3 linked regions of the Cricetulus griseus genome follow. The protein of the gene in region 1 interacts with the protein of each later gene in a biochemical or structural test. Links are inferred from orthologs where the notes say so. Each region holds a gene or a part of one and is shown in the gene's direction. Other genes may lie near its edges.

Region 1 (10,610 bases):
ACTCAACTTGTTCCAAATGCCCTTGTTGACCTATGAAGCCACAGAAAGGAAGTTATTGTATATTAGTTCATGTATGATTTATATCTTCCCCAGTGTAAGTTGAGCTGAGGAGACACTGTTTTCCACCTTTGTTTTTTATTTGATATTGAAGCTTTTAGGTTAAATTAATGTTTTGTGAGAGAGGGTCTCACTTTGCAGTCTTGGTTACTCTAAAACTTACTAGTCTAAAACTGACCTCAAACTTACAGTGATCCACCTACCTGTGCCTCTTGAGAGTCTTGGGCTTGCAGGCGTGTACCACATCTGGTTTTTATTAAACTATACAGTAAAATAACAGCATTAAGAAGAAGAACAGCTCTTCAGTACCAGCTAATGCTCTAAATCATGCATATGTCATAAGAATGCTGAGAAGAAGGGTTGTCATTCCTAGTTCACAGATAAGGAAAATGATCCAGAGAGGTTAGGCAAGTAGCCCAAAGTCACACAGCTAAACAACCACTAACACCACACACACAGACACACACACACACACAGAGAGAGAGAGAGAGAGAGAGAGAGAGAGAGAGAGAGAGAGAGAGCAGGATTTTAACTTCAAGATCTGGCTCTTTTGACACCTTCCAAAACACTCTTTGGAGTTGGAAGTTAAAGTCCCAGGAACTTTATTTACTCTGCCCTTGGAAAGTTCATGAGCAGCCTGTGAGTCTCCTGGCTTGTCTATGTGCCCTCTCACCACGAGCCTGCCATGCTGTCCCATTCAGTGCTTGTGTGACTTCTCGTGCCTCTCGGCTGCTGGCCAACCTACACTCTCCATCTCCTTCCTACTGCCAACCTAACTCTTCACCTGGAAACAGAGACGAGAAGCCACCATCACAGGGTTGGTAGGAGGCCTGAAAATGTGCATTTCAATTTTTTAGTTCAATGTCCAGAAAAGAATGTTTTTAAATCATGTAGTCTTCAGACAAAGAATTTTGACCAAATTCTTTTGTGTCTCCACTAAGATAATCTGACAGTTTAAAGAATCGTTTTAACCCCTTGAAGTCATGAGGATCTCATTGGTCTGGCTCTAAGAATCATCATTTAAGAGCGTGGAGTTGGGCATGTCCTTTCTAATCAACTCAGATATCCTCCAGTTGTTTAAATTAAGGAGAACAATGTTTATGTCTGTTGTAAAGGAGGAAGGGGAAAGGGAGAATTGGGAGCTTTGGTGATTATTTCCAAGACTTTCTTTGCTTAAAATCATTTTTCAGAAAGTTTCCATTCCCTTGATACCAGACATCTTCTGACATATGCGTAAAGGCTACTTAATACAAACTGAGCAGTTTAAACATTAATTGAGCCCAGTCACCCACATGCTGTTAGCACTAGGAACTGACAGATTGAGACAGCTACTCACAGCCTTGCAGAAGCCATTTGCTGACATTAAATTAAACCTAGAATTTAAGACCCACATTCACAATGTCACAGGCTTCCGCTAGCCACTGCATTACCTGGTTAATTATGCTGTATAGTAATTGCAAGTAGGTTTTTTTTCCTGTATAATTTTCATAAAGAGTTGAGTTCATTTAAACAAATGAACCATAGCTATGGGTTTTGAAAATAGTCCCGAAGAGTGGCTTATACAGAACCAGGCTCATAGTATATCTTTCCAGGTAACAAAACTAAAGGAGACTCTTAGAACGAAGGCAGCTGTCAGCAGCTACTGGGCACTGACTGTCCCTGCATCTGCATCCTAACTGAACTTCAAGCTACACAAAGGAGCCACTTAACAGCTAGCCTAGGTGTGACACATTCTCAGAAGTTGGTGTCCCCTCAGTGGAAACCAGTGTCAACCAGTGCTTCTGGCTTCTTGGTCCCAAGGGCCTGTCCCTGTGGATTTTGACGTGGCTGTGAACATCTAGCTCCTGGGAAACTAATGAGGCTATGAGTGTAACTACCATCAGAAGCCTGGTGTTCCTGAAATGGTCACCTTACTTTACAGCTTCCTCTCTGTGCTTTTCCACACACACACACACACACACACACACACACACACACACACACACACACACACACACACACACGAATAAAGGACTGTGGAGCTGCATAGTGACCCACGAAGCTATTCTTTGGCACAGCCAGGGTTGGGTCAAATACTAAAGTTAGGAAACACCAGCTCACTCACATAATCTTTGATTTCTCTCTCTAGCACTGAGTTAAGTGATCCAGGTGGATGAGGAACAATGCTCCAAAAGGTGCCATAAGACTGAGATCATGGCCTCTTCCTGACAGTGAACTAGGTCTTTTGAATACCTGGTATTGGCAGCAGTATCTGCTAGAGGGCTGATGATTCCTGGAGCCTGAAAAGCGGAGTGTCTGAGATCTTCCAAAATAATCTAAGAGGACAGAAGAACAGATTCTGGTTTTGTTTTTTGATAAGAAAGCAGTATAATCACAGTTCATTCCCTAAAGACATCTGTTCATTAGTTTGTTCTATTCTATCAGTAAGCGTCAGCTGAAGGCTCTCATGTACGGAAAGATATGTGCAGAGAAGCATGGGGCAGCCAGAAATTACTGCCTTGGCTGTGTAATCAAAGCAGTTTAAACATTAATCGAAGCAGTCAACCAAGTACCATCAATATTGGGACAGCCAGGTTAAGGCAGCTACGTATAGCCCGATAGTGAAGCCAGTTGCTAGATTCTAGAGTCCACTTGGTGATATGAGAGGTCAGTATAGGTAGCAATGATGGAAGGTTGAATGCTATGAGACGTAGCATCAGCCTTACAGGAATCATGTGTGTAGAGACAACAAGGAAAAGAAGGATTGGGGTAAAGTTTAGTTGGAAGGGATTATTTCATGCATGCCTTGTAGGAAAAATTGGGTTTCAGCCCAGGATGAAAAACATTCCAGCAGAGAAATATATGCTGGCACCAAGGCAGGAAAGTGGGAAACACGCACAAAGAACAATGAACAGTTTAGTTTGGCAAGAAGGTCTGAAACAAATTCTGTTTTTGTTCATTTCAGTCTTCCCAAGGTTGTACCACCTGATTCCAGATGGTGAAATTACAAGCATCAAAATCAATAGAGTGGATCCCAATGAAAGCCTCTCCATTAGGCTTGTTGGAGGCAGTGAAACCCCACTGGTCCACATCATCATCCAGCATATTTATCGTGATGGAGTGATTGCCAGAGATGGACGGCTGCTGCCAGGCGACATCATTCTCAAGGTGCCCAAAAGGCATGATCGTGTAACTATACGCTTACAAGATCATGAGCTGTAGGCTATGAAAGGCACTTACTCTAAATCTTTAAAAGTAGATAATGGTTGGATGGATAGATGGAGGGATAGATAGATGGGTTGTGCAGAAAGATGGGTGGATAAGTGGATGTGTGGAGGAATAGGGAGATCCTTCAGAGCTAATATTAGATGGGCAGATAGGTAAATGGATGGATAATTAGATGGAAGGGTGCATAGGCAGATGGATGAACGTGTGGTTGGGTAAATGGATGGGTAGGAGGGTGGATAAGTAGATGACAAATGGGGGATAAGAGAATAGGTAGATGGCAAATGGAGTGGATATAGTGAAATAAAGACAGACACTTTCCACAGTTATACTGAGATAAATCTCATATGAAGAATTCTAATATAATTTGGAAGGGTCTTTCTCCTCCTCCGCCCATTTATAAACAGTTACTGTTTGTTTACAGTTGTTACTGTATCATTTTCTGTCTTCTCTCTCCCCATCTACTGTTTTCATCTACACCCTTTTCTTTCTCCACTTTACACGTTCTTTCTCTTCTTGCTCCTCCTATAGCCTCTCCTTTTAAAATAAACATTAGTATAAAATAAGCACATTGATGGCAACTGTTGTGTTTGATCTAATTGTGTCCAGACCCCCTTCTACAGAAACACTCCTGTGGCTCAACAGCCATCTCTAATCTGGTCTCATGACCTAGAGGCATTCCCAGGGACTCAGGGGTGGAATGACCTGACTTGGGCACACTGTCCTCCTAGGCATGGTTGAAAGGGAGACTTCAGAGAAGAATTTTCAGGACAAAAAGAAAGTGGGGAGAGCTGTTGCTTATCAGACAGATGCCAAATGTGAGCCAAAAGGGACTAGCATGCCTTCCCAGCTCATCTACTTCTTATCTGATATTCAGATAACAGTTCCATCCCACCCTTTGCAGGAAGCAGAGGGAGGACTCCTGTCTCAGCGTGGGCTGTTTGTTTGGCAAACTAATTGGGATAAGAGGAGAAATAATTGAAAGGGTTACTGCAGAAATGTTGACATTGTCTCTGGGATGTCCACCAGGCAGGGCCCATCACTCAAGTGGGCCACAAATACTGGGACCCCAATCACAGCAGGGCTTTCTCCCTCTCCCAATGGATACTACTGTGTCTGGGAGGGCTGCATAAGAAAATTCTATTCTTTGGTCCTTAGTTGGAGGCAACTTGAAGATAAAGAAATGCCAGGGACCTATATCAGATGACCATAACTTCCCTTGATCATAGGCTCTGTCACCTTCCTGGTAGTGTTCCCTTGTGTTTGGACAAGGGGGTACCTTGTCTTCACTAAAGGAGCCCAGTCCATCTCTGAGTTTCAGCAAGAGGCAGTGGTTGACCTCAAACAAGGTCCTTTCAAAGCTCATTTTTCCAATGTGCCTCTAACAGTTGGCTTCAAGTACAGCAATCTTCTTAGCAAACTCCCAAATCTAAGCAGAGTACAGAGCTGCTGGGAACTGTTTTCTTCCAGAGTGGTGACAAACACTGAGGGCTGTAGCCTCCAGGCTGGGCCTGTGGAGCCAGGATAATTAAAGCCAGAAAGTCAGATGCAGCAGCAGCCCTGTGGATGGTTAGTGAGGCCCCACTGAGAGGCCCAGGTTCGGTATAGTTAAGGAGGGCTATAGTGTTCTGCCTTTCAGTAAATAGCCTAGAAACGTTCTTGTGCATTAGCTTATTTGAAATGATTCAAGCCCCACAGTCCGTTATAGTTAGAGTATTAGCAGAAGACCTTGCAGACATCCGTCTCAGTACCTGACACTCCTATACACACTGTTACACTCACACCTGCAGATGAACATTCAGGCCCACTCACAGATACTGTATCATACAACAGCCCCTTCACACACTCAGGCCCACTTACAGATACCATATTATACAACACACTCACACAGACCCAGGCCCACTCATAGATACTATATATCATACACACACACACACACACACACACACACACACACACACACACACACACACACGCGCGCGCGCCCAGACATACTCACAGGTACCATATCATACAACTCACATTCACCTAGGCCCACTCACAGATACCATATCATAAAACACACACACACACACACACACACACACACACACACAGGCACATTCACTGATACCATATCAGGCAAATACACACTCAGGTACATTCACCCAGATAATATAATGTGAAAACACACTCCACACACACTCAGGCACATTCACACCAATATAATAACATACAAAGACATCCACATTTTGTCAGGCACACTCACACAGATGTTTTGGCATGCAAATACACTCACATGTGCACAGGCATGCTCACATATACTATAACATGAAACACTGACACATGTTCAGGGGCATTCACACAAATACTCTACATACAAACACATATTTAAGCACATATTCTCTCTCCCTCTCTCTTCCCACCCCCACCCCCTCACACACACACCACAGAGTAATTGGAGGTGAAAGTATGGGTAACTCAGTAAGAAAAATTTTGTTCAAAAAAACAATCAACTTGTTTTGGTCTAAATAGTGTTGGATATCATCATCTAATATTGGGGTGCAGATCAGTGGCCAGGCCTGTGCTCTGCGTGCACCTCATTTTAAGAGTATAGTCATTTGAGCCAGGCAGTGGTAGTACAGGCCTTTAATCCCAGCACTAGGGAGGCAGAGGTAGCTGGAGCTCTGTGAGTTCAAGGCCAGTCAGATCTACAAAATTGAGTTCCAGGACAGCAGGACTACACAGAGAAAACTTGTCTCAAAAAACAACAACAAAACACACACACACACACAGTCATTTGAATAGAATAAGAAAATGCCTTTGTCTTTCAACTTTTTTCTTTCTTCAGTATCAACTAAAAAACTAAAATTGGCAGGTAACAGAAATTAACAGGAGGATTCTACACTGTCATATGGGCCTGTGCAAGTACATGGGTGAAGGAAGGCAGTGCTGCGCCCTAGAGGAGGGAAAATTACTGTGGAAAATTAGACTTTTTGAATACAGAATAAAAGGAGATAGAGAAGCAGGCTAGGGGACAATATCCTGGTTACTCTGTGGACTTGGACTTGTATTCATTTGATTCTTGTGATGCTGAGGATCAAACCCATGCTGGCCTGGACCTTCTCAGAAGGCTAATGGTAGGTACACTCACTGTCGAATGGCCCCACCCCCAGGTCAATGGAATGGACATCAGCAACGTCCCTCATAACTACGCCCTGCGGCTCCTTCGACAGCCCTGCCAAGTGCTGAAGCTCACAGTGCTGCGTGAGCAGAAGTTCCGTAGCAGAAGCAATGGACAGGCACTGGAGTCCTATGGACCTCGGGATGACAGCTTCCATGTCATTCTCAACAAAAGCAGCCCTGAGGAGCAGCTTGGCATAAAGCTGGTGCGCAGGGTGGACGAACCTGGGGTGTTCATCTTCAATGTGCTGAATGGGGGTGTCGCTGACCGACATGGCCAGCTAGAGGAGAATGATCGTGTGCTGGCCATCAATGGACATGACCTTCGATTTGGCAGTCCAGAAAGTGCAGCTCATCTGATTCAGGTGGGTCAGAAGTCACCCTAAGATCCCAGTCAAAAAACCCGCAGAAGCAGGAACATTTGGCCCCTTATCATGTGTGCCACTGGAGCCTCCCTCTGGGGAAGTCAAGGAAGGGCTGGCAGTTTCAATGCTACTGTCCAAGAGCCCAAATGACACAAATGGTGTACCTCGGGTCATGACCTTTGCTGATAGTCTTACAGTGTATGTGTGCTCTCTCTCTCTCTCTCTCTCTCTCTCTCTCTCTCTCTCTCTCTCCCTCCCTCCCTCCTTCTCCTTCCCTCCCTCCCCTACCTTTGTCTTCCAGTTCTGCTTTGCTCCTATTTTATGGTTACCTGCCTATCTAGAAAAGTGTAGAAGCATATTATATTATAAAAGTACCTGGAACAATGCCTAGCAAGGTTAAGCACTTGATGAATAAGTGTTTATTATATGTAAATACTTAACTAATAAATTAGTCATATTATAAACATATATATATATATATATATATTACATTTTAGTCAATTCCTTCTCTGAAGGATTATTTTTGTCAAACCATTTACCACAGAACCAGATTGACATTTGTTTTTACATGCTCTTTGACCCTATGAGGTAACCTCTACTTTTTATCCCTTTGACTTTGGTCAGTTATCATTGGTTGAGCAGCCCTTATGTACCAAGCAGTGCCCAGTACAGTGTTAACAAGGTAGCCATGGTCACTTGCTTCTCAGAGCTTGAAAACTTCCTGTCCTTGATTTTGTACAATCAATAAGGCAGAGTTAGACTAGAAAAAAAAAGATGAAACAGTCACACATGAAAGAGAAGTCCCTTTTTTTTCTTCAGGAAGACACTATCTTAGCTTAATTTTTTTTTTTCATCTTTAAAACCTAGACCCTAAGCAATTGTCAATATTCTTTTCATGTTATGCTTGTTAGCCCCCTCTGCAGGCCACCTAGTGCAACTCCCACTCTGAAGCTCTTTGCCAACTGTACTTTCACAATCGGCAAAAGAAAAACTTTTATGTTATTGGGAAAAAACTTGATTACACATGGCATTTTACTCTTGAAGATTAATAACAGAAGAACATGTTTTTCCCTGAGAAAGTCAATGTATGAAGTAGAATCTTGCCTAATAGTGGGAATTCCTTTAAAAAAATCCCTTTGCTTACTAAACAAAGCCAATCTGCTTTATAAGCAGAAAGAAAACTTACTTTTTCAGAAAGTCTAGGACAAAGCTCGCTGGAAAAGAAACGTAAAAAAATAAATGCTGTTAAAAAAAGCTAAGTAATGGCTTGCTGTCTCTGAAGAGTACATTTTATTTTTGCAATATTTGTAACCCACACCAGGCTGAAGGGATTAAACTAAGTACCCTTCAAAGACTGAGACTCAAATTGCCACCCGGCCCCGGCCGTTGGCTATGCTGCCCATGTGTGTCCACCCCCATGAATCACATTTGCCTCACAAAGAAATTCCCAGACAGCATGTCCTCTTGGCCATGTTCTCTCCCATCAAACTACACTTTTTTTTCTTCCTACATTACTTCAGGAAAGAGTTATTGCAGAGGCCACAACTGTTTTAAATTGGACCAACTTTACTTATGTTGAACCCCTAACCTGATCATATTCAGCAGCAGCCTGGGTAGACAAGTCCCCAGTGTAGAGAGTCAAGGTCCGTTAAGAAGAAAAGTCTTCAAGAGAAAGACACCTCCTACATGGAACAATGGGCTTCTTAGCATCTTAACAAGGACCATGCTGGTTTCCACCATTGTTAATCCCTCCAGATTTTTTAATCATACTTACTAGAATAAGTATACGGAAAACAAACTTTTTGGAACTATCTGATGTCATACTTGAGATAACAGAACAAAGAGATAACAGATCAAAGAGAAAAAAAGATGTCTCCACATCTGTATCCCAGAGGGTCAGCATATTACCGTTATCACCACAAGAATCTAGGAATTCTAAGAGAAATGCTTGTTTTGAGGAATTCCCATCCATATGCAACTCAGATTAGTGAGTTATGTTTGTTTAGGAGTTCAAGTATATACAGTCAACAAAGAAAGCAATTATGAATTTTTAAATTGAGTAGCCATCCATGAGTTCTCTCTCCCCTCCTTTCCTCCCTCACCCCTCCCTCCCTCCTTCCCTTCCTTTCCCTCCCTCCCCACTCTCTCTTTCTCTCCTTCTCCCCATCTCCCCCTATCTATTTTCCTTGCTAACCCCAGAAACTGAAAAAAAAATCAAATCAATTTATAGAGGTTGGGAAAAGTAGGGGCATACAGTAACACTGCCATATGTGTGATTTTTGTTCCTTGTATGAAATAATATTTAAAAATACAGTTATTTCACCAAAGAACTGAAAATCAGCCTGTTCAAACTTTTAAAAAGAATGTGATAGGGCTTCAGACAGAGCCAAAAAGTAAACAGTGCCAGGCTCATGTTACCCACGTTTACTCTAAAGACAGGATTCCAGCTCATGAGTTGTGCTTTGTACCTGGAAAGAAAAAGGCAGAACTTTTGTGGTAATTTAAACATTCAAGTCCCTGGGAGCCAATAAGAATTGCCAGTGAAATAAGACCTGCTAGATCTGTGTGTGTGCAGATCAGCACAGCTCATGTGGAATCCAACCCCTGTTCACATAAATTGTCTTACCAGGGTCCTGGAGTAAATTTAGTGCATGTAGACTAAACTTAAATCTCCTTATGCTCAAATCTCAAAGCCTAAGAGATTACCAAATAGGACTCTAAATTTCCTATTTTCTTGAGAAAGTGATACTTGGAAATCAATACAGCCCTTCAAGTTAAACTTTATGAGAATGAATCTTCTGTGCAGTTGTGTTAAAGGGCCTGGAAACCCCACTGCCTTTCTCCAACACAATATCCCCCACAGGCTTGTTCCTTAATGGAAGAGAAATAATCCTGGGAGTAGCAACCTCCAAGTCCCTGAAGAGAAGTGGGGCTGAGACAGAGGAATGCTGACACAGCAATCAACAGATTCAGGGACCCAGGAACCACATTTTTATTTTGACTTTGTCTTTGACATCTATATGATCCTGCATAACTCATCAGCAGTATTTCCATCACCACTCATTTTCTTATTCCTAAAAGACTCTATCTTAAGGTGGAGGAAGAGATGATCAAGAAAACCCCTTATGAGTGAATGAAGACTAAAGTAGAAGGTAGCTGTCCCAACAGCTGATTCTGTAGGTCCTATTCCAGCCCTCATCTGCCTGTGTCAAGGCACTGCCCTTGCAAATATGCTTCTCCTGTGGACCTAGACTGTGCCCAGAGTCTACCCACCCCACAGAGCACATTGGTGATATCCAGCAGTCAATTTGCCCCCGCCTCCATTCCATGTGTTTGCACAGAATAACACTGTGCAGCATGCCAGAGAAGATGGAGACTTCTTGAAGTCTATAGAGTCAGTGCAAGAAACACAGCAGGTAAACCCATGTGAGCCATTGCTCACCTGGTGCACAGCATTCACACAGAGACCAGCTTGGTCTACATGGCAAATTTCAGGCCAGTCAGGGCTACATAGTGAGACTTTGTCTCAAAAAACAAATTATTTAAGCATTTAATATATATATATTATATATAATATGTGATATATTATTACATAAATTAAACATATATAATATTCTATATTTGGGGGATATATATGAGTGTGTATATATGTGTGTGTGTATATGTGTGTGGGATATATATATGTGTGCAAATGCCTTATTTTCCTTACAAATAGGGGAAACCCTTGGCTGGTGGGAAGCTTGCACTGTCAAATACAGGTTTTCTATCAACTTTTGTTCTGCCTATAGATAGCACTGGTCCTCTTAGTCACCAATTCCCATT
Region 2 (10,610 bases), about 80 Mb from region 1:
CAAGTGCTGTTATTACAGGCTTGCCTTAAAGGAAAATGAGACCTGTTTGTAACTTCTCCTGGGAAGTATGAGAGGGGAAAATGTACTATTTACCTTTATGTTTTGACAGTGGGGATTGAACTCATGGCCATGTGCATGCCAGACTAACAGTACCACTGTTACAAGTGCTTTTACCTTCTGAGCTATGTCTCTGGCTTCTAAGTATATCTTTTATAATTAAAACTGCAACCCCTAATCACTGATAGTGATTCTCTGGGTCTCAATTTTACCATTGTAAATAAAATTGGACAAAGTATTTGCTGAGGTCATTTTCGGTTCTCAAATCGTGTATTTCTATGATAAAATGATGTTATGGGATTCTCCTCGAAAATGAGTGTTATTCTTTACAGCTGCAGTGTAACTTAGCTTGTTTTCATTATAGGACCTAAAGTGATTGCTACAATGGAAGGAATCAATAATTTCAAGACACCAAACAAATTATCTGAAAAAAGGAAATCTGGTAAGATTGCAGAAGACAGATCTTTTCTTGTTGCTATATCTACCAGAAATGTTTCAGTGTTTGCTCATTGTTGTTGTCTGTGAACAGTCTAACATTGGTTATTATAAGCATGCTAGCCATAATGGAGCTTCTAATAGGGTGGGCCAGACTTTCTGTCGACTGACATGGTCATTCTGGACTTTAGGTTCTTCCTGGTGATGGTCTTCTGACTTGAAGCAGACATTAACAAGAGTCAGTTCACTCCTTTTAGGAGGAAATTCCTAGAGTTCCTCCAGGAGTTGAGCATCAGGCTTGCATAGCAAGCACTTTTATCATAGATGTGTCTTGAAGATTATTTAAGATATCTTGTTTGAGACAGGGTTTCTCTGTGTAACTGTGGCTGTCCTGGAACTCACTCTGTAGAGCAGACTGGCCTTGAACTCAAAGATCTGCCTGCCTCTGCTTCTGGGGTGCTGGGATTAAACCACTGCCTGACTTGTGTAGGATATCTTAAGTAGTTAGTCATGTGTAGATTAATATTTGAACAATTTTTCCACTCCAATATCTATAACTTTTTCTAAAAATTACCTTATTAACTGGCTCCTCATGCTTGCTAGTGGACATATCTGTGTTGTTCCCAATGCATATTAGATGTAGCTGTTCAGATGTAGTTCTCAGGCTCCAGCCCCTCTCTTGCCTCTGAGACCTGAGAGTATAGGACCTTTAAGAACATCTACTTATCCTTCAGTGTGCCCACACTATCCTGGTAATTTTTGATTAGGTGGTAGATGTTTTATGTCGAGTGCTGGATTTTGTCACTCTATAGGGCGTTTGGTCTCATGAAGCTCCAAAGCTTATTTGGCTGAATGATGGTAAGCCTGTTCCTTTTGATACTGGCCTTTAAGCTTTCTTACAGACTTTGCTTGGGCCAAAAGTTAGTGGTAGTACTGAGTTGTTACCCTTTAGAGGGCTTTACTTAACAGTCTGCTACAGTGCCGCCTGGTATGGCTGATGATGGTAAAGTGATCCTACTCCTAGACTTCCATTGCTTTCCTGGCTTGGGGGAATACTTCCCATTATGTGTGCAGTTAAGTACTAGCCAAGCACACTCTATGGGAAATCTTTTCTATTGCCCATTTTCTTTTAGCTCCCTCCTGTGTTCTGCTCCACAGCTTCCAGCTACCTAGTCCTCCTTGACCTCTGCTCTGTCTCTGTGGTTTGACATACTGTTGGGCTGTTTCCTCTGCTTGAGCCTGCCTGGACTGCCTTTCCCTTTCAGGGCCATGGGGAGATGATAGGATTTGCTTCATGGGTTCATCCTTGCTCAGAGGTCACAGCTCTGCTCTGCCTCTTATCATGCATCTGAAAGCTATTGTATTTTGTCAGGTTTTTTAGTTCACAGAGAGAACAGCTGTCTGTATGAGCAGCTTGTGCTCTAGACCACCGAGCCATCTCAGCAGCCTCTATATTCTTTGTTTTTAAATAGCCCTTAAAGAATGTAAAAAAAAAAAAAAAGCACACACCTTTAATCCCAGCACTCAAGAGGTAGATCTCTGTGAGTTCAAGGCCAGCCTGTTGTACAGAGAGAGTTCCAGGATAGCCATAGCTACACAGAGAAACCATGTCTTGAAAAGCAAACAAAGACCAGTGAGATGGCTCAACATCTCACTGATGTTGAGTGTTGACCTGAGTATAATCTGTCCAAAAACAAGTTCAAAAGCTGTCCTCTGACCTCCACATGTGTGCCATGGCATTCACATCTACATACATACACCATGTATACATACACACAATAATAGCTAAATAGATTTTTTTAAATTCTTAGCTTGTATGCCATAAAAAACAGGCCATTTACATTAGGGTTACTGTGAGAGTTACAGAAGTTGTCTTAGTCAAAGGGTACTCATATACTCTGTTTAAAAAAAAAAAATGCCATTACTAATCTTACCACAGTGTTTAAAGACTGTCAAGATTCTTTTGTACTACCATTTTCAAGTGCTAAGTTCTTGCTTTTGTTTTTGATTTTTAGTATTATGTTCGACTCCATGTGTAACTATCCCTGCCTCTCCATTTATGCAGAAGCTTGGCTTTGGGACTGGGGTCAATGTTTACCTAATGAAAAGGTGAGTGCAAGATTTCCAACTTGTGGGTCCTTGTGCCTGAATTGGGTAAGTTCCTCATCACACCTGAAGGCTACATTCCAGTTCTCAGAATCTTGATAACTGCTAGAGTTCTGCCCCAAGTACTGTACTCCTAAATTCTTACTGGTGGATTAATAAAAGGGAATAGCTTAACCCTTTTCCCTTCTGGCTTCTTTAAGAAGGTGAAGTGGTAGAAAGATGCGAGAACATGGCTTTGAGTGTGGTGAACAAGTGTAGAAGAAATGTTGGTGTGGAGTTGAAATAGCTGTTGGTGAAAGGGCGTGTCAGGGATGGGGAACTACTGGCAGTTAATGGCTATAGGGAAGAGAGTCGGTTCTCTTCAGGGATGCAGCCCCTAAGAGGCTACCCACACTCCAGGAGATGCTCCTGTACCCATGCACTAAGTGGACTCTAGGCTTAACGAATAAAGAACACATGAGGATTGAAGTTGGGGGGACATGGAAAGTACATTTGATCAGAACATATATGTATGAAATTTCAAATAATAAGAGAGAGGATACCATTATATAGACTGTTTTGGAGCATCTCTTTAAGTTAAATTTCTTTAGTATTTATTATATAACTCATCTCTGATACATAAAGGTAAAATGTTTGATAAAATAGTGACTGACATGCCAGAATAGAAATGTTAGAAAATAGTGTAGCCACTTTCAAATTTAATTGTACTTTTATAAATTTGTAACATTTCATCTTTATCTTTCTCCTTTAATCCCTTCTCGGGGCTTAGATATCAAGACACTGACTTAGTCCAAACAGAAATGTAACAGGTGTTGATGATCTAAAGAATTTTATGTATTTTTAAATACATATTTCTATGGGGTCAATTTGAGGATGGTGTTGTTTTTTATTCCTTTTTTACATTTAAATTTATGTGTTTATACTTTAGATCCCCACGTGGGTTGTCTCATTCTCCTTGGGCAGTGAAAAAGATCAATCCTTTATGTAATGATCACTACCGAACTGTATATCAGAAAAGACTGACTGATGAGGCTAAGATTTTAAAAAACCTTAATCATCCAAACATCATAGGTAAGTACAGGTTGACTTGGTGGCAGTTATGTGGCAGTGCAATGTTCTGTGGCATTAGAAACAATATAGATACATTCTGAAATGGTTTTGCTAATAAAAATAAAGTTGGTCTGGATGTTATTGGAAGTTAATGTGAATTGTCTGAAGTAAAAATTCACGTAAGGGGCCGGAGAGATGGACCAATAGATAAAAGAACTTGTTGCACTTGTGAAGGACTCAGGTTCAGTTCTTGGCACCCACATGGTGGCTCACAACCATCCATGGGGTATCCAGTGTCTTGACTTCCACTGGCACCAGGCACACATGTGATGCGCATATATATTATATATATATATATATATATATATGATCCATATATATATGGATCATATATCTTAAGATCCATATATCTTAGATCTTTAAGTGCTTGTATCCAACCTTCATGGAGTTGAGGTGTAATCGTTTTGTGCAGATAAAGATTTCAGGACTTAAACTGATCTTCATTTAGATCATTTATGTTCATTTAGATGGGTTCTTGTCTTCACTTTTCATTTTTGGTACTAATTCGTCTGGTGGAATCATTCTATTTACGAAAGCATAGTAAAACTATTTTGATCTGTGGTGCTAGACACATTGAAGGCATTTAAATTCTAGCTGTGGGTTAATTTTGTATTTTATTGTGTTAGACCAGGTCCAAGATATATTACCAAATAAGCCCTGGTTTCCAGAGTCTCATAGAAAACTGTCACATTTTCTTAAGGGTACCGTGCCTTTACTGAAGCCAGTGATGGCAGTCTGTGCCTTGCTATGGAGTATGGAGGTGAAAAGTCTCTGAATGACTTAATAGAAGAGCGAAACAAAGACAGTGGAAGTCCTTTTCCAGCAGCTGTAATTCTCAAAGTTGCTCTGCACATGGCAAGAGGGCTAAAGGTAAATATATTTTAAATAGTTTTGGTGAACTATGAAGAAATTAAACATGGGTTATATCTGTGTTGCTGTGTTTTTTTTTTTTTTTGATAGATACAACATGACGGAAGAAAAGAAATGAATATATTAATTAAACACTAGTAATAGTGACTCTAGAAAACTACTGATGACTCGCAGTGTCATGATAGTGATGTCAGGGTTACATGTTAAGGTCTCATATGAAATTGGTTTATGGAGCAGATTGAGAAAAAAAAAGCATTGTAAAAACAATTTACTACATTTATAGATACCTTTAAATAGGATAGAGCCAGGCATGATGGTACACACCTTTAATTCCAGCGTGACAGATCTCTGAATTCAAGGCCAGGGTGGTCTACAGAGTAAGTTCTAGGGCAGCCAGGACTACATAGAGAAACACTATCTTAACAAAAATAAAAAGGATAGAAACATCTGAGTTTTTTACTGACTGATGGCTTTAAGTATGTATGTATAATGAAATTAATAATGTAACCGTGTTGGGGCCTATTCACCATATGATGGGCTGCATTTAAGTATGCATAGGAGGCTCCTGTGGAAGGGCAGATCACAGCAAGAGTGGCTTCTCCTTTCTAAGCTGCGCGTATAGTATAGTATAGTATAGTATAGTATAGTATAGTATAGTATAGTGCTCAAGTGCTGACAAATGAACAGCCATTGCAGCATTGTTCAAAATGTGACTATAATTATGGACAACTCCAAAGCAGTTAATGGTAAAAACATAATATAGAATACATCTCTGTTTCTGCTTATGAATTATAGTGGACCCAAGTCACCTGCATTACATCACAATTTGAGATAAGTTTGTGAAGATTTCAAAATTTAAAACTATTGGCCTCAAGTGAAATTGGAGTGTTTTGAAGTCAGCTTTGAAAATTCAGACATCGTAAAGAAAACTTTTAAATGACATGGCATGTTCCCTTCCTAGCCTCAAATACTTTGAAATAGATAAATAAGTCCAGTTTACAAAGGAAATTCAAGTCTTTGTTGGTTTTTTGTTTTTTTGAGACAGGGTTCCTCTGTGTAGCCCTGGCTGTCCTGGAACTCTCTTTAGACCAGGCTGGCCTTGAACTCAGAGATCCTTCTGCCTTTGCCTCCCAAAGCATATGCCCCCACTGCCTAGCTCAAGTCATTGTTTTATTGAAAGAATTTTTAGCAGTTTTTTTTTCTGCTCATGTATTTGAATGTTTTTACAATTCTTAGTATCTGCATCAAGAAAAGAAGCTGCTTCATGGAGACATAAAGTCTTCAAATGTTGTAATTAAAGGTGATTTTGAAACAATTAAAATCTGTGATGTAGGAGTCTCTCTGCCATTGGATGAAAATATGACTGGTAAGTAGCATTGTTTTAAATTCATACAATTTTTGAACTCTTAATTTTTGCATTGTAAAACATAGTAAACCTACATATTTTAAATGAACTTCATGAAAAGTGTATAATACAGAGCATCTTTCAGGTGTTTTCGCTTCCTCTGAGCTCCCCGCTCCAGTTATTGACTTCTTGGTAGTGTATCTGTGTATTTTTTGTCTTAGTTTGATTTGTTTGAAGTTGGTCAGGTTAGGATGGCCTCAGGCTCAATCCTCTCACAGTCTTTAGTCTGTGACCACACTGGTCCTCACCAGCATGGATTTTACCTGAATAACTTTGGGAAAGACACACCCACCAGAGTAGAGCTTCCCCCAGCTTCTGGGCATTGTAATCCAATCATGCTAATCAGGATTGACTAGTACATCTTTTCTTTCCTCTTCAAATGTTTCTTTCTCTATTTGTAAATTTATTGAGAGCCTCAAAGTAGAATTTCAAAGATAAGCTTCTTTAATTAAACAAACTGCTTGTTTTTTCCCCCTATTGTTTAGGAGTGCTAAGCATTTTGTTTTCAATTCTATCCTTATTTGTGTAAAATGGAGGTTATAGTAATAAAATATTGAAAGATTATATTTTTAGTGTAATGTACTTTAACACTGTCCAGTGAATTTGATTTATTCTAATTAGAGAAAACATTTTTAAATATGTAAAGGAAATTTTGCCTTAAGGAAGATGTCACAGAATTCCTTACTGGACAAAGGAATTAAATTAGAGATTACTAACAAAATATCTGGGAGAACCTTGAGTTTTGGGGGGTTAGCAATACAAATTTACATACCTATTGGGGTATCATTGGGCCACAGTTTTGGAGACTGTTTTGAATTGATACATAAAATGATACAACATGTAAAGTCACTAGTTTCCCAGGGAAACTTGTAGCTATTAGTGATTATTTAAAAGACAAAAGGTACTACTGTTGGCTGCACTTCCTTGTCAGCCAGGAAAGAGCAAAGTCCATGAAAGGAATAAAATAGGAACAGATGTCACTGGGAAATGTTAATAAAGCCCAAACTGGTTATACAGAAAAATAAAAATTCTCACCAAGACTGAGAAAAGAAAGAACAAAACCACTAATATCAGGCATGAAGAGGGTCATAGCTGTACATTCTACACATGTATAAGGACTATTACAGACAGCTGTATTCCACCAAATACAACAGCTTATATAAAATGACAGCTTCCTTGAAAAATGCAATTATCAAAATAGATATAAGAACTAGGAAATCCAAAAATAGCTAGTAAAACATTCTTAGAAAGAATCTCATATGGTTGATTTTAAAAGAAAATTGATACTAGTAAATAATAAGAAAATGAAAAGTTAAAAATTCCATTTATAACTGCTAAAACCCCAAGATATTTAAAAATCTAAGAAGAAAAAAAATCCTCTAAGTCTGGAAACCATAAAATATCACTAAGATGGAACCAGACAGTGAAAGAAAGGTCTGTGTGTTTCATACTGTTTGATAATATTGAGATGTTAATTCTTCGAAGACTGATCTACTAGCCTATCCTTTCCTAATTAATTTTTGCTGTTGTTTTTTGCTTTTTCAATTGAAGCTGACAAAATTTTAGACTAAGGGACTGTGAGTGGCATGCAATACTTTAAAGGCCAGTGTGTGACTATTTCTCTGGGTTTCCTGATGTAGCAATCATGGAAGTCCTGAAATGCCATTTGGTGTTCAACCTCTGTGCTTACAGAAAATCCAAGACCTAAACATAAAGTAGTCTGCTGTGTCACCCAGCTTGAATGCCTTTATAAGCAAGATAGTCTAGCTTGAGTGGAATTTTGATATCTATCTATACCCTAAATTTCTGTTACCTTCTGAGGGAACTGTTGTTTTCTTATATTCCCACCAACTGATGAGATTTTAATACTTTCTAGTCTTATAAGGGACAGATCCATTATAGTGAGGTTGAATAGTGATTAATTTCTGAACTCCCTGTATAAAGGAGTTTTGCTTGTGTTGTTTTGTTGGTTGCTTGCCTTTCTCCATAATCCTTAACACCTGTTCTTATGACTATTTTTGTATTTGTGTGTGTGTTTCAGTGACTGATCCTGAGGCCTGTTATATTGGCACGGAGCCCTGGAAACCCAAGGAAGCCTTGGATGAAAATGGCATTATTACTGACAAGGCAGATATGTTTGCTTTTGGTCTTACTCTGTGGGAAATGATGACTTTATGTATTCCACACATCAATCTTCCAGAGGATGATGATGATGAAGGTATAAATACAAATAGGTTTTAACATAAATCGGAGTTTCTTTCTGGTAATTAGTGCATAAAACTGTCCTCCCATTAAAATTCAAAAAGCAAATTAAGATTATAGTAATACTGTGATTAATTTGGCTAGATTTAATCTCATACAAATGAGATACCTATTGAGAATAGATACATAAGGGTATTCCTCCCTTGTAACCCCTCCACTCATGGATTCTCATTTTTTTTTCTTATGTATACAGCTTTGTCTGCATGTATTCCTTCAGGTCAGAAGAGGGCACCAGATTTCATTACAGATGGTTGTGAGCCATTATATGGTTGCTGGGAATTGAACTCAGGACCTCTGGAAGAGTAGCCAATGCTCTTAACCTTTGAGCCATCTCCCCAACCCCCAAAATGACATACCTCATTTTTCTTTAATATATCTACATTTGCTGAGTAGGGTATCTAGCTGAAAAGTTTCCTTTTTGCTGGAGAGAAAATGTCTAATCTCTGCGGCAGGAACGTTGAACAGACTGCCTGTGGTATAGGGAAACACTGGATAACCCGGTCTTGTTGCAGGAGGGTAAGCTGTTGAGCTATCCTATGACCTACATGATTTTGTTTCCATCTCTAACTCCCTCGTGTGCAGATGCAACCTTTGATGAGAGTGACTTTGATGATGAAGCATACTATGCAGCTCTGGGGACCAGACCATCCATCAACATGGAAGAACTTGATGAATCATACCAGAAGGTCATTGAACTTTTCTCCGTGTGTACTAATGAGGATCCTAAAGATCGTCCTTCTGCTGCACACATCGTTGAAGCTTTGGAACTAGATGTCCAATGATGCTTTTTGTGGCGGTCTAAGCAGGAAGCATAGCTTGTATGTGAACTGTTAACTCAGACACACTTAGTTACTATGACCTGCAGAGTGTCTAAACTCTGGAAGTGGCTAATTTTAGGATCACCATATAGTTAATATTTGCATAATTTTCTGACATGTTATTTCTTATAAGCATTTATTGTACTGGATAGTCTGTGAAGTTAAAAAAAAAAAAACAAAAAACAAACAAAAAAACCTAACTCTCCAGAGTACCTAGATGCTGCTCCTACTGATTTAAAACACTAGTCACCCTGAGATGACTTAGAATCAGGGGATCATTGCTTTACTAAAGATATTTTTAGATATTCTCTTTAGTGAGTTGTTAAAATTTCACTTTATACTGTGCAGAGTTTATCTACATCTGCTCATCAAATGTCCAGCTTTAGCTGATCTGTTGGCCCATGTGCTTATTAAATATCCCTGTATCTTTAGAGCAGGGGAGAGTAGTTCCTAAGGTTTTCAGACCCTGGCTGCAGCTACTTTACATCTCTTCACATCTTAGTGTCTAACTTATTGAATATATTTTCATGCTAATGTATTGTTTTTACTTTTAAAGTTGTGATGTAATAAAGGATAGTTTTGGTACCTCAATATTCTATTCTTGTTTGTGTTGCCATCTGACTTATGGAATGAATGTGCTTTTTCTCAAAACCTTGTTTTCTTATGTATGAAGTGAGGTTAAATTGGATCAGTTGTTTGAGTCATAGCTCCTTGGAATTACCAGAATTCAATTGGTGAAACCAGGTGGTGTACCCAGACTTGACTACAGACAGAATTTAGGTAATGCAGCAACAGATCATTAATTGGTATATTGTCCATCAAAACAGCAGGAAAGTGACAGCAAAGTCAAAGTTTACTTATCGAAAAATTGTGTAAATGTGCACAGATTCAGTATCTCCCCCACCCCCAGACAGGGTTTCTCTGTAGGTTTGGAGACTGTCCTGGAACTCTCTGAAGACCAGGCTAGCCTCGAACTCAGAGATCTGCCTGCCTCTGTCTCCCAAAGATTCAGTAGTCTTACCTACCTTTTCTCTGATTTATCATTTTTAATAGGTTTGCCCAAGTGACAGGTCCTGTGTACAGACCATAAAGCATGAATTGGCACTTTCATTGAGATTTATTCCCAGTTCCTACAGACACCCCATTTTCCACATACCATTTTACATAACTATACTTGTCACAATAAACCAGAACTGACATGCAATTCAACTCCATACTTTATTCAGATTTATTATTCAGTGACTACTTTTTCTGTTCCAAGATCCCATTCAAATGCCACACTCAGGGATGTCACAACCCCATGACTACTAAATTTCAGGGTATGATGGTTTAGAAATTTTGTGCAACAGACTTCAACTGGGAGTTGTCTGATGTTTATTTCATGTTCACATGGGCTTATATAAGGACTTCATACAGCAAACCACCAAATATCAACATGGTGACACTGACTGTTGACCAATTACTAGCTGTTCCTATTGTTGGCAGGGTTATCTGCTAAAAGTACTCATTTTTTAAACTTTTTGATATTACAAGATGTAGGCTCATTC
Region 3 (10,610 bases), on another chromosome or scaffold:
CCTGTGGGGACAGGTTACTGACCAAGGAGCTGCAGGAGCTGGAGAAGCCAGTCTTCTTTGATAAATGAGTGCTGTTACACCCATGCAGAATTCTTAACTTGCTGCTTCTTTCTACACACGGGGACTTGGGTGAGGAAATCAAGAGCAACAGTCTACACATTCATGCTGAGTCACGGTACTACTACACATTCACACTCTTGGTGCGTGGTTCTCCCTTCAGCTCCAGTCTTTCTCTTCTAAGGGATTAATGTGGTCCTCCCACAGGAAACACTGTACACTTCAGCATATGCCCCAGGCCTTGTTTCCCTGGTCTTTTCCTTGGGATCCATACTTCTACCATTTGAGATTGTTCTCTGTCTGAGAGTGAAGGGACTTGAAGAATTTTAACTGAATTTGGGCATACATAGATATTCCCCTACTCAAATAAAACAAAACAACCCCCCATCCTCCCCAAGCCAAACAAGGTCTCACAGTATAGCTCAGACTTGCCTGCAACTCACTATGTAGCTCAGGATCACCTCAAACTCAAGGCACTCCTCCTGTTTCAGCTTCTCTCAGTGCTGGAATTGCAGGCATGAACCACTGTGCCTGGCCTTTCCTGATTTTAAATCAAGAGTTTCTTTTGAGACTGCAGCTGCTCATGAACTCTCATTTCTCAAGGGATGAGTCCTTATAAACCTGTGGTAGTGTTCACTAGGGATTTATTTCAGAGAATCCTGGGTGTGGAATAGGAAGTAAAGTAGCAGAGACTGGAGGGAAAGGCATGACAGACCTTGGAGAGCCTCTGTGTCAAGCTGAGGATCTTTTACAGGCGGCATCAGGTGGCTTTAAGGAAGTGGAGGTGTAGATGCATTACTGTAGGAGACAAACGGATGCAAGGCAGAGAGTGTATGAGGGAACAGCCAGGGCTGAGTGTAAAAGAGGAGGTCTGGTAATGGCTTATGGTAGAAAGGCAGCAAGAGGAGGGTACCAGGAGTCTTGACTTCTATCTGGATAGTCGGAGAGCATGCCAACAGGAGGCTATTGGTGTCTGCAATACATAGGGTGGTTGAGCTGGGGATATAAGTTGGGAATTGACACCTTGTCAGTGGAAATCAGAGGGGCTTTATTCCAGTGCATTCTTCCCTGACCTAAGGAATACTACTTTAATCCACCACCTTGGGTTTCTCAGTCCTCAGCATTGTGACTGTTATACAAGGTGATGCCTGGAGCTCCTACTTTTCTGCCTTAGGCTCCCATGTCCCTGCTTCTGGCTCTGTCTTTTTGTGTTGTACATCCTGCAGATCCTAGACACTTTCCTCTTGAGTCTAAGCATCTACTGACCTAACCTGAGATTTTTTTTAAAATTGTTCTGAACTGGACATGGCCCCTCATCTCCAGGCCCTAGTCTAGTACTTTGTGTGAAATGTCAGGTCTTCTGTTCCTTTCAGGCTCCCTGGAGATGCCATAGGGTCAGTGACCTCATTTGGTATTGATGTCCTCTTGGTCTGGATGCCCTATACTGTTTAGCAGCCACACTGGGGAGGGCTCACCCCAAATGCCACCATCCCATCTCTCTGCTCTTATTTGTTCATTCATGTCCACGTATCCAAATAAAGTCATTTCGGAATTGATAACTCATGCCTCTGGACTTCTGTGAGGTGCAATTTTGTATCTGTTAACCAAAAAATTATACTGGTACCTCACTGGTGACAGTGTGCATTGTTACTCACTCGTGGAAAGCAATTTGAAGTGGAAGTTTCAAAATCCACAAAGAATGAGTCATGTGCTATATACCTTTGTTCCACCCCTCCCCCCAGAGATGCATCCTATGGCAATAATTTTAAAAGAAGTCATCATGCGAGAGAAAATGTTATTACTGTAATTGTTATTATGGGAAATTGGAGGTAGACTAAATGCTATGTAGTACAGGAATAGTTAATGAAATTTTAGTAGGTAAAGTCTGTAAAATCATTACGTTCCCATTAAAACAACAAAGAAGCCACCCAGGGGAAGAGCTTGCAAGGTTAGTGAAAAGAAGACTGATTAAGGATGGTGTTCTTGGGCTTTCGGAGATCCAGCTCGGTAGAGCAAGGGCCTCTTGCTTCCCCTGGAAACTGGTAAATGAGCATGACAGATGTTTCCATTTTGCTCAGTCAGCAGTTGCCCAATTTTCCTGGAAGGGCATCTGTGCAGGCTGCTGCCCCAGTTTCCCTGGACTGGCTGGTTGAGGACCAGAATGGCTTACCTGTGACCTTTTTGACATTGACAGGTGATGGGAAACAGTCCTCCTTTTCATCATGACCCATTTGTTCTGGGGTTCGGAAAGACCGTCTTTTACTTGGATTAACCAGCAATATTTCTTCCGTAAATTAAGCCTTAAACATGGGCTCAGCCTAGAGATGAGGTTTTTATTTGGCATCATCAGACCATGTCTCAAAAGAGAGGGGAGATTCGATGCAGTGGTACACTAGAATCAGCGAGCCTATGTTTTCAAACCTGGCTTTCCCATTCATCAGCTAGATTATTCCTGTGTGTGAAATGGGCAGTATCAAAGCTACACCGTCATGGAGTTGTGTGAGTTATGATGCCTGTAGATCCCTGAGCACACTATATTACTGTTGTTAGAGTTAAAACAGTTAACCACTGTCTGGTACAGTGGGAAACCTATGGACTGTGAGTTCAGAAGTCTGATTTTGTGTCTCAGCCCATCAATTCATCTTGGCCAATATTAGTCATGGGTTTTCAACTTCAGTCTTCTTCTTTGTCAATAGAAGCCTTATTAATGTGTCCCACACAAACGGAGCCTGAGCCTATAAAAAGAAGTGTGGTGTGTCCTTGTAGTGCTCATTATCATGAACTTGATGTTTCCTATTTACACGTTCTTCCTGGAATGACAGACACTGTTGGACAGCAGAGGCAATGATCGATTTTGGGAACAGAAGTTGGATGGATTAGATTGGACTGCTCAAGACATCATGGCATTTCTGGCCAAGAACCCAGAGGATGTTCAGTCTCCAAATGGCTCCGTGTATACATGGAGAGAAGCTTTCAATGAAACCAACCAGGCAATCCAGACGATATCTCGCTTCATGGAGGTGAGGTTCTGCTGTGCACATCCTTTCAAAGGGCTTTGTCCTTTGAAATGTTGCAGTAAATTTAAAGGCAGAAGGAGAGCTTAGAATGAATGTGCGGTATCATGTACAGCTATATCCTGCAGGCCCGGCGGACAAGATAAACCCTAGATGAACTGCTTCATAAGTAAATAAGCTTACTTCCAGCGTTACTTCAAATAGACTCCAGTGTTTCTATCCATTATCTTCTCGGTGTTCCCATGTTTTGGTATTCTAGATTCTAATGGTAATAAATTGCTCTCTTATAAAGGCATTGTTTATGAAACTTATCTAATCTAATTTGGAACTGTAAAACTAACCCTAAAAATGATGGAAAGGAAAAGGGCTGATAGAATTTTTCCTTATCTGATTTTAAGTGGTTAGTTGCTGTGACTCAACATTGGTAAGAAAATGGAAGAGCATAAAATATGATCATTTCCCCTCACAGAAACAATACAAGTAATGTTCAGTATTTCACATAAATCTCATTTCTAAGCTTGGTTGAAACCCAGAAAACTACTTTTGAGAGGGCTAGGTGCTGAAGAGTGATAAATTCGGGCAACCAGTTCCCACCTCTCAGTGGAGACTGAGTGGTGTCTACCAGCTGTCTTTCTGGCCATCAGTGTTCTAATGAGGCTGTCTTTTATGTCAGTGTGTCAACCTGAACAAGCTGGAGCCCATTCCAACAGAAGTCCGACTCATCAACAAGTCCATGGAGCTGCTGGATGAGAGGAAGTTCTGGGCTGGGATTGTGTTCACAGGGCTCACTCCTGACAGTGTGGAGCTGCCCCATCACGTGAAGTACAAGATCCGAATGGACATTGACAATGTCGAGAGGACCAATAAGATCAAGGATGGGTAAGTAGAATCCCATCACACAAGCCCAGTGTTGCAAAGGTCAAGAAGATAATTTAGATGGCTTTTATGACTGTTGGTTCTCTGTTAGCAGTTTGGAAGGAATTTCAACAACAAATCAGTAGCAGCAGCATGACTTGGCTAAAACTGCATTGCTGGGGACTGTTAATCAAAGGCCATAAAATATTAGTCTTTCCGTTTCAGCATTCCTGTTCAAAAGATTAACTGAAAGGACTTAAAAGTCAGGAGAAAGAAAGAAAAGCCTTTAGGGGGTCTCTGTGCTAGCCAGACACATTTTTATAAAAAGAAGCAGACAAGCGATAAAAGGGAGTGGGTAGTTGAAATTTTAGTATGTCTATCTGATGTAACGTTATACCTAAGGAGAAAAGAAAAAATATACCATAAGGAGTGTGTTCATTGTGATTATTTCTATTCAAGAATCTATGTATTTATCAATTGAAATAGGAATAGATTAAAAAATAGGAATAGTAGCCAAGGAAGTGTGTGGGAAATGTGGGTAATTGGATTTTCCAGTATGTCTATTGTTTGCTTTTAGGTACTGGGACCCTGGTCCCCGGGCTGACCCATTTGAGGATATGCGATATGTCTGGGGGGGCTTCGCCTACTTGCAGGATGTGGTAGAGCAAGCGATCATCAGAGTGCTGACGGGAACTGAGAAGAAAACGGGTGTCTATGTGCAACAGATGCCCTACCCCTGTTACGTTGATGACATGTGAGTGTACCAACAAGCCAGCCTGTTTTTTTATTAAACAAGCAGCTCCATGTGGAGTACATGCATGTTTCTGCACAGTGTGGGAGTGAATGCACGTCAATAGGAGGTGATTAGAGACCCTGACCCTTGGACTCTGTCCCCTCCTTTAGTGTTTAGTACTTAGTAAAGTAATTTACCTTTATTTTAATATTATCCCCACTATTTCCTAGTTATTAAAGTGATCCCCTAAAGAAATTTTGGATGGCTGCACTCTGTCAGCCAAGGTTCTCATCTCTGTCTACTGCTAATGAAACATTTGGTCATTTGAGAGTCCAGTGGGCCTTCCCTTGGTGACCCAAATGTAGTTTTCCCTCTAATATGCAAGAGCTTTTTTCCATGCTTTTCATCTGTGTCTCCAGTTTCCTTCGGGTGATGAGCCGGTCCATGCCCCTCTTCATGACCCTGGCCTGGATTTACTCTGTTGCTGTGATCATCAAGGGCATTGTATATGAAAAGGAGGCTCGGCTGAAGGAGACCATGCGGATCATGGGCCTGGACAATGGTATTCTCTGGTTTAGCTGGTTCATCAGCAGCCTCATCCCTCTGCTTGTGAGTGCTGGCCTGCTGGTCATCATCTTGAAGGTAAAGGGGCCTCTCTCCTTCCAGAAAAGCACACATTTACCTGCACCACACTGTACTTCAGGGTCAATCCTTAGGAGTGTTGGGTGGGGATTATTTTCAAGTTGGTAAAAGCAATAGTCAGAAGGTTATACTACAGTTTGGATGTCTGGAGGAAGAGGCTGAGGCAGACTTTGCTATATGGATATTAGTAGGGATCAGTATCTGGAGGGATGGAACATATGCTGGCTCATGCAGAGAGAGGAATTGAACCATGTCTCAACAACCCAGTGGGGTGCTCTGGAGAATTTATAGCTTGTCCAGGAGTTTCCCACATTGAACTGAGAAGAAGCCCAAATTCTTATCCCTAAGGCCTGACATCCTCTCTCCCATTTAGTCAGTCATTGGATGGGGCTCACCAGGGAAAGGGGTGTTCTAGGGCCTGGAAGCTCTCCTAGCTATGACAACAGAGACGCTAACATCTGGATGTCTTTTATCTGCAGACAGGCAAGCCCTCCCTTAAAGTGGAGTCTGGGCAGTGAAATTTTTGTCTCATACATGAATCTACTCTTCAGCTTTCTTAACTCATCGTTATTTCATACAAAGCTGCCTCTTATAAAAGTTAGTGTTTTCCAGCGGGGGAGGAAAGGGAGAGAGAGAGAGAGAGAGAGAGAGAGAGAGAGAGAGAGAGAGAGAGAGAGAGAGAGAGAGAGAGAGAGAGCACAAAGCAAGACAATGTAATATTCATCTTAATGCTAGCTATATATATTACTCCTGAGCACTCGCTGAGTAACCTTATAGTAACCCATGGAGTTCCCAGGGCAGGCCAGAGCCTCTCTAAATCGTGCCAGGATGACAGACCAAGATTTATTTGCAACCTGTTTATTTATACTCTGGTATCCAAGGGCAAGGACCTAAGCCTTGTACAAGGGTAGGGGTCCTGTGGGAAAATTCACAAGCATTTATGCATACATGAAGACTTTGTAGCTACCAGGGTAAGGTTAAGGTTGCCTGGCCTGTTTCTAGGTTGGTGGAGAGAGAGGATAAGTGGGCTGTTGTCCCACACAACTTTTTCTTAGGGGCAGTGGTTGTCCTTGAATGAGGAGAAGCCAGGTATCATTATCTCTGTGAGAAACAGAGAGCAATATTGTCCACTGAGATCAAGTAGAAGGTCCTGAACTTCGCACTTACCATAATTCTGCTGTGGCTTTTTTTTAAATGTGTAGTCTCAAGTAAGGTATTTCTCCTGGGTTTGATTTCTGCATCAGAAAACTGAACAGTGTGGTTCCCCTACATTATCTCTGAAAGAATTATGAGTGGAAACTAGCATTGAGATTACATGAGCGAGTGACTGGGCTTGCCAAGGTCACACATTTATCCAGTCTCTTCTTCTCCAGTTAGGAAACCTGCTGCCCTATAGTGATCCCAGCGTAGTGTTCGTCTTCCTGTCTGTGTTTGCCGTGGTGACCATCCTACAGTGCTTCCTCATTAGCACGCTCTTCTCCCGGGCCAACCTGGCAGCAGCCTGTGGGGGCATCATCTACTTCACATTGTACCTGCCATATGTCCTGTGTGTAGCCTGGCAGGACTACGTGGGCTTCTCCATCAAGATCTTTGCTGTGAGTAACGCTAGTCTTTCTCCAGAGTTGTAGTCCTTCCTGACCCCGACCCCTGGGGATTTGGCATTCACTCTGAACTCCTCTCTTACTCAATTGTTCCTCCTTCGCCCTTACAGTGAGCACTAGTTGGATTTGATTTTTGTCAGAGATCAGATTGTACCTTGAACATGTTGGATATAAATGACATTGGGGAATGTATTTAGTGTAGCAGTAGATACCACATCTACCCCTTGTCTTCTAGCTCTTTGGCCATAATAAGATCACAGTAAAGTCATGACCATGGATAGCTTGCGGCCACAAGTGGTTCATTTATGACTCGTCTTTCTTGTATCCATTTTGGTATTTGACTTAGGTAATATTTTCTGAACTGAATAAGTCTGAACATGACTTTCCCTCCCACAGATCCCTGATCAGGACATTTTTTCCTCTCGTGTGTAGGTGTGGTCTTTGAGCATGTGAGAATATCAGTAAAAGCCACTCACTAGCTGCGCCATGGGTCACTAATATTAGTAGGCTCTCAGCATGCTGCAGGTCCCTCAGGCTGAGTCTCATGGATGTCAAACCTTAAAGTAGCTCTTCTGATCCTGAATACTCAATGACTGATCAGGGAAAAAGTCTTTGATGTCACTATAGGAGGCTGAATGGGGGACAGGATTGCTGAGCCTTGGAATATCTTGGGAAGCATACAGTTCTAAAAGTCTCACCTGCTCTCATGCATGCATTTCTGAAATGTGTGTGCATAATGAGTGCTTATAAATGAAATCATTTTATATGCTGTAAGGGAGTCCTGTCTCCAAAGGGACTCTAGGAGAATACTTACATGCCTTATAATTGATGTAATTTGCAAATTCATCTTTCTCAAGGTGGAAATTACATTAGAAGAGAAAAATGAGAGAGACAGTGGCATTATCCTAATACTTTTGCCTTTTTCTCTCAGAGCCTTCTGTCTCCTGTGGCTTTTGGATTTGGCTGTGAATACTTTGCCCTTTTTGAGGAGCAAGGCATCGGGGTACAATGGGACAATCTCTTTGAGAGCCCGGTGGAGGAAGATGGCTTTAATCTCACCACTGCAGTGTCCATGATGCTGTTTGACACCTTCCTCTATGGAGTGATGACGTGGTACATCGAAGCTGTCTTTCCAGGTACCCCACGCTTCCAGACTGCTTTGGTTAACTGATACAAGAAGACCCTTTCTGCCTGTAGATCTTTCCTTTCTTTGTGTTGCAATTGCTAAAGGATGAGGGGGCTCCCTCGGAAGTGGCTTGGGCTTTAAACCTGTGAAAAGCAAATAGTACTAGGAAAGTCACCTGTGCTGAAAGCACACCTGTTACTACCACCATGTCCCTCATGCTTGAGTCCTGTGGCCAGGTACTGTGCAAAGTACTTTACATCCTCTGATTTTGAAGATTGCCCTGGAGTGTTTGCTATTGCAAACAGTTCCCGAATGAGAGACCTGAGAATGTAAGTGACTTGCCTGAGGTCACAAGGCTGTTAAGCGCTGGTGCTTGGAGATGACCCCAGTTGGACCACACTGGGTTAGAGTCTAGTAGATTCCTCTCGGTGCTGCCTGAGTTCTGGAGTTATGTCCCCAGAGATGGAAGCCCTAGGAGGGCTTGTAGTTCTTAATTACAAGTTATGAATAATATAATGTATTAGGTCTCAGCACTTGCCCATGGTTTAAGTCAAATTAGTGTGTGGGAACAATTAATTTTGATGCTTTCCTTAACCTTCTTTGCCAAGTGAAACAGGAAACCAGAAAACCTCTTTGGGATACATTTCCATGCAAGATCAAATTTTAGGAGGTGAAGTTCACCCTCTGACTTTGCTCCAAGGGAGTCTATATGTAATTTTTATTTTTTTTTTTAACCGTATCTGAACTTCTTCCATTGATTATGCAATTTGCATCATATAGATTGAGATTCAAATTCTGAATCCATATTTACTGGGTAAGTGACCTTGAATAGGCTATGTGTCCTTCACTTTCTTTATCTCTAAAGTGAGGATGGTGTTGCCATCTGGAGTTGTTGGGAAGCCATGGAGAGATGCAGAATATATGATCTACATACTGGGTTTGAGCACAAGTTAGTGGTCTGCCTCCACCTTAGTTCCAGTGTATTCCTTCCCCCAAAGATCTTGTCAAGGAGAGAGAGAGAGGGTCTGGCTAGACGACATCAGAAATGCTGAGATGGCATCAGCTTGGATCATGCCTGTGCTTTGCTTTCAGGACAGTATGGAATTCCCAGGCCCTGGTATTTTCCTTGTACCAAGTCCTACTGGTTTGGTGAGGAAATTGATGAGAAGAGCCACCTTGGTTCCAGCCAGAAGGGAGTATCAGAAAGTAAGTACTTACTGCTGACACCCACTCCCCTGTACTTGGTGCTGCTGTCCCTACCAGGGAAGGGCATCCCTCTTACATTAAAAAATACTCTAAAGCCACATTAGAGGCAGAAAACCCATGCAATACCCCCTTTCCAAAATACACCCATGCCATTGCTTTCCTGTGCACTGACTTAATGGGAGTCCTGAGGAGCTCCTGAGGAGCAGTTTCTTTGTTTCCCCACTTGTAGGAAAGAATAGTATGATCAATATACCCTTATCTCCCCCATCTTGGACAATGTGCTAGTTTATGCAGCCAGGAGGAATAAGTAGTTAGCCTGACTTTCAATCTTTCCATTTCTTCTTTCCTTCCACCGCTGTCTCAGCATTCCCTTCCCTGAGCTGCCTGTGTTGATTCTCAGCAGTCAGTTGCTCTCTTTCCTGAACAACCACCCAACCACACAAAGGTCTCTGCTTGATTTAGAATAGCAGACTCACAAGAAGTTTCCAGACAAGTATGTGAAGAGGTTCCTTTGTCCTCTTCATGGGTCCCCCCAGTGTTCCCTGTTCATGAACCTGAAATTGAAGTATAGTTTCAAACTGGTATTGGTACTGTTCACAGACCACTGGACTCCTCATTCCACACCCATTTTGTGATATCTGGGAAATTTTATCATGTATGTGGATGTGTGCTCTAGCTTGTCCGTCAAGATGCAGAACTGTCTCATCACTCCAGAGCTCACTGATGATACAGATTAACAGCCATGGCTGCCTCTCTCTTCTGCTTTACTCTTCTCGATTCTTACAATTTTATTATTTCCTGATTATTATGGAAATGGGACTGGATAATAGGCAATTTTTGGTAGTGGGTCTTTTCCTCACTCAGTATAATTCTTTTGAGATCCATTCAAATTGTGATGTATCCTAATCATTTACTGCTTTTTCTTGGGCATGCATGACACTTTTAGCTGTTTTTAAAATGACAGTTCACACCCTGTATATTAATTGTTTTTACAGCATTTTTCATCACCAGACTAATGTTTTCAGTTCATCCCTACCATCAGCACGCATGTCCCAAAGGGCTTAAATTATTTTATCTTCTGTGTGCAACATTTGAGGTTCTAATGGTCTAAGCACAGACTTTTGTATTTGTTTACTCTGCTGCTTAGGTCAGTGTTTCCTGTGGTCTCACCTCTGTCTGTTCTCTTTTGTCACAGTCTGCATGGAAGAGGAACCTACTCATCTGAGGCTGGGTGTGTCCATTCAGAACCTGGTAAAGGTTTACCGAGATGGCATGAAGGTGGCTGTGGATGGCTTGGCGCTAAATTTTTACGAGGGCCAGATCACCTCCTTCCTGGGTCACAATGGAGCGGGGAAGACCACTACCATGTAAGAAGA

What was found. The genes of interacting proteins can lie anywhere in the genome.
Region 2: of the proteins of Lnx1 (region 1) and Pbk, one has a biochemical effect on the other in vitro, tested with the Homo sapiens proteins (2 studies listed by BioGRID and IntAct, with this or other methods). The link is inferred for Cricetulus griseus from reciprocal best matches to the Homo sapiens genes LNX1 and PBK.
Region 3: of the proteins of Lnx1 (region 1) and Abca1, one has a biochemical effect on the other in vitro, tested with the Homo sapiens proteins (2 studies listed by BioGRID and IntAct, with this or other methods). The link is inferred for Cricetulus griseus from reciprocal best matches to the Homo sapiens genes LNX1 and ABCA1.

The regions. Positions count from the first base shown.
Region 1 is NW_023276807.1:141,128,919-141,139,528, reverse strand, and holds part of Lnx1 (E3 ubiquitin-protein ligase LNX), read left to right. Parts: intron 1-3,001; coding exon 3,002-3,204; intron 3,205-6,416; coding exon 6,417-6,788; intron 6,789-10,610.
Region 2 is NW_023276807.1:220,801,273-220,811,882, forward strand, and holds the end of Pbk (lymphokine-activated killer T-cell-originated protein kinase), read left to right. Parts: intron 1-421; 5' UTR 422-441; coding exon 442-499; intron 500-2,507; coding exon 2,508-2,601; intron 2,602-3,526; coding exon 3,527-3,669; intron 3,670-4,408; coding exon 4,409-4,578; intron 4,579-5,814; coding exon 5,815-5,944; intron 5,945-8,024; coding exon 8,025-8,201; intron 8,202-8,827; coding exon 8,828-9,027; 3' UTR 9,028-9,654; downstream 9,655-10,610. UniProt on the Homo sapiens protein: Phosphorylates MAP kinase p38. Seems to be active only in mitosis. May also play a role in the activation of lymphoid cells.
Region 3 is NC_048595.1:90,696,654-90,707,263, forward strand, and holds part of Abca1 (phospholipid-transporting ATPase ABCA1), read left to right. Parts: intron 1-2,879; coding exon 2,880-3,077; intron 3,078-3,744; coding exon 3,745-3,950; intron 3,951-4,503; coding exon 4,504-4,680; intron 4,681-5,078; coding exon 5,079-5,301; intron 5,302-6,674; coding exon 6,675-6,896; intron 6,897-7,833; coding exon 7,834-8,038; intron 8,039-9,120; coding exon 9,121-9,234; intron 9,235-10,429; coding exon 10,430-10,601; intron 10,602-10,610. UniProt on the Homo sapiens protein: Catalyzes the translocation of specific phospholipids from the cytoplasmic to the extracellular/lumenal leaflet of membrane coupled to the hydrolysis of ATP.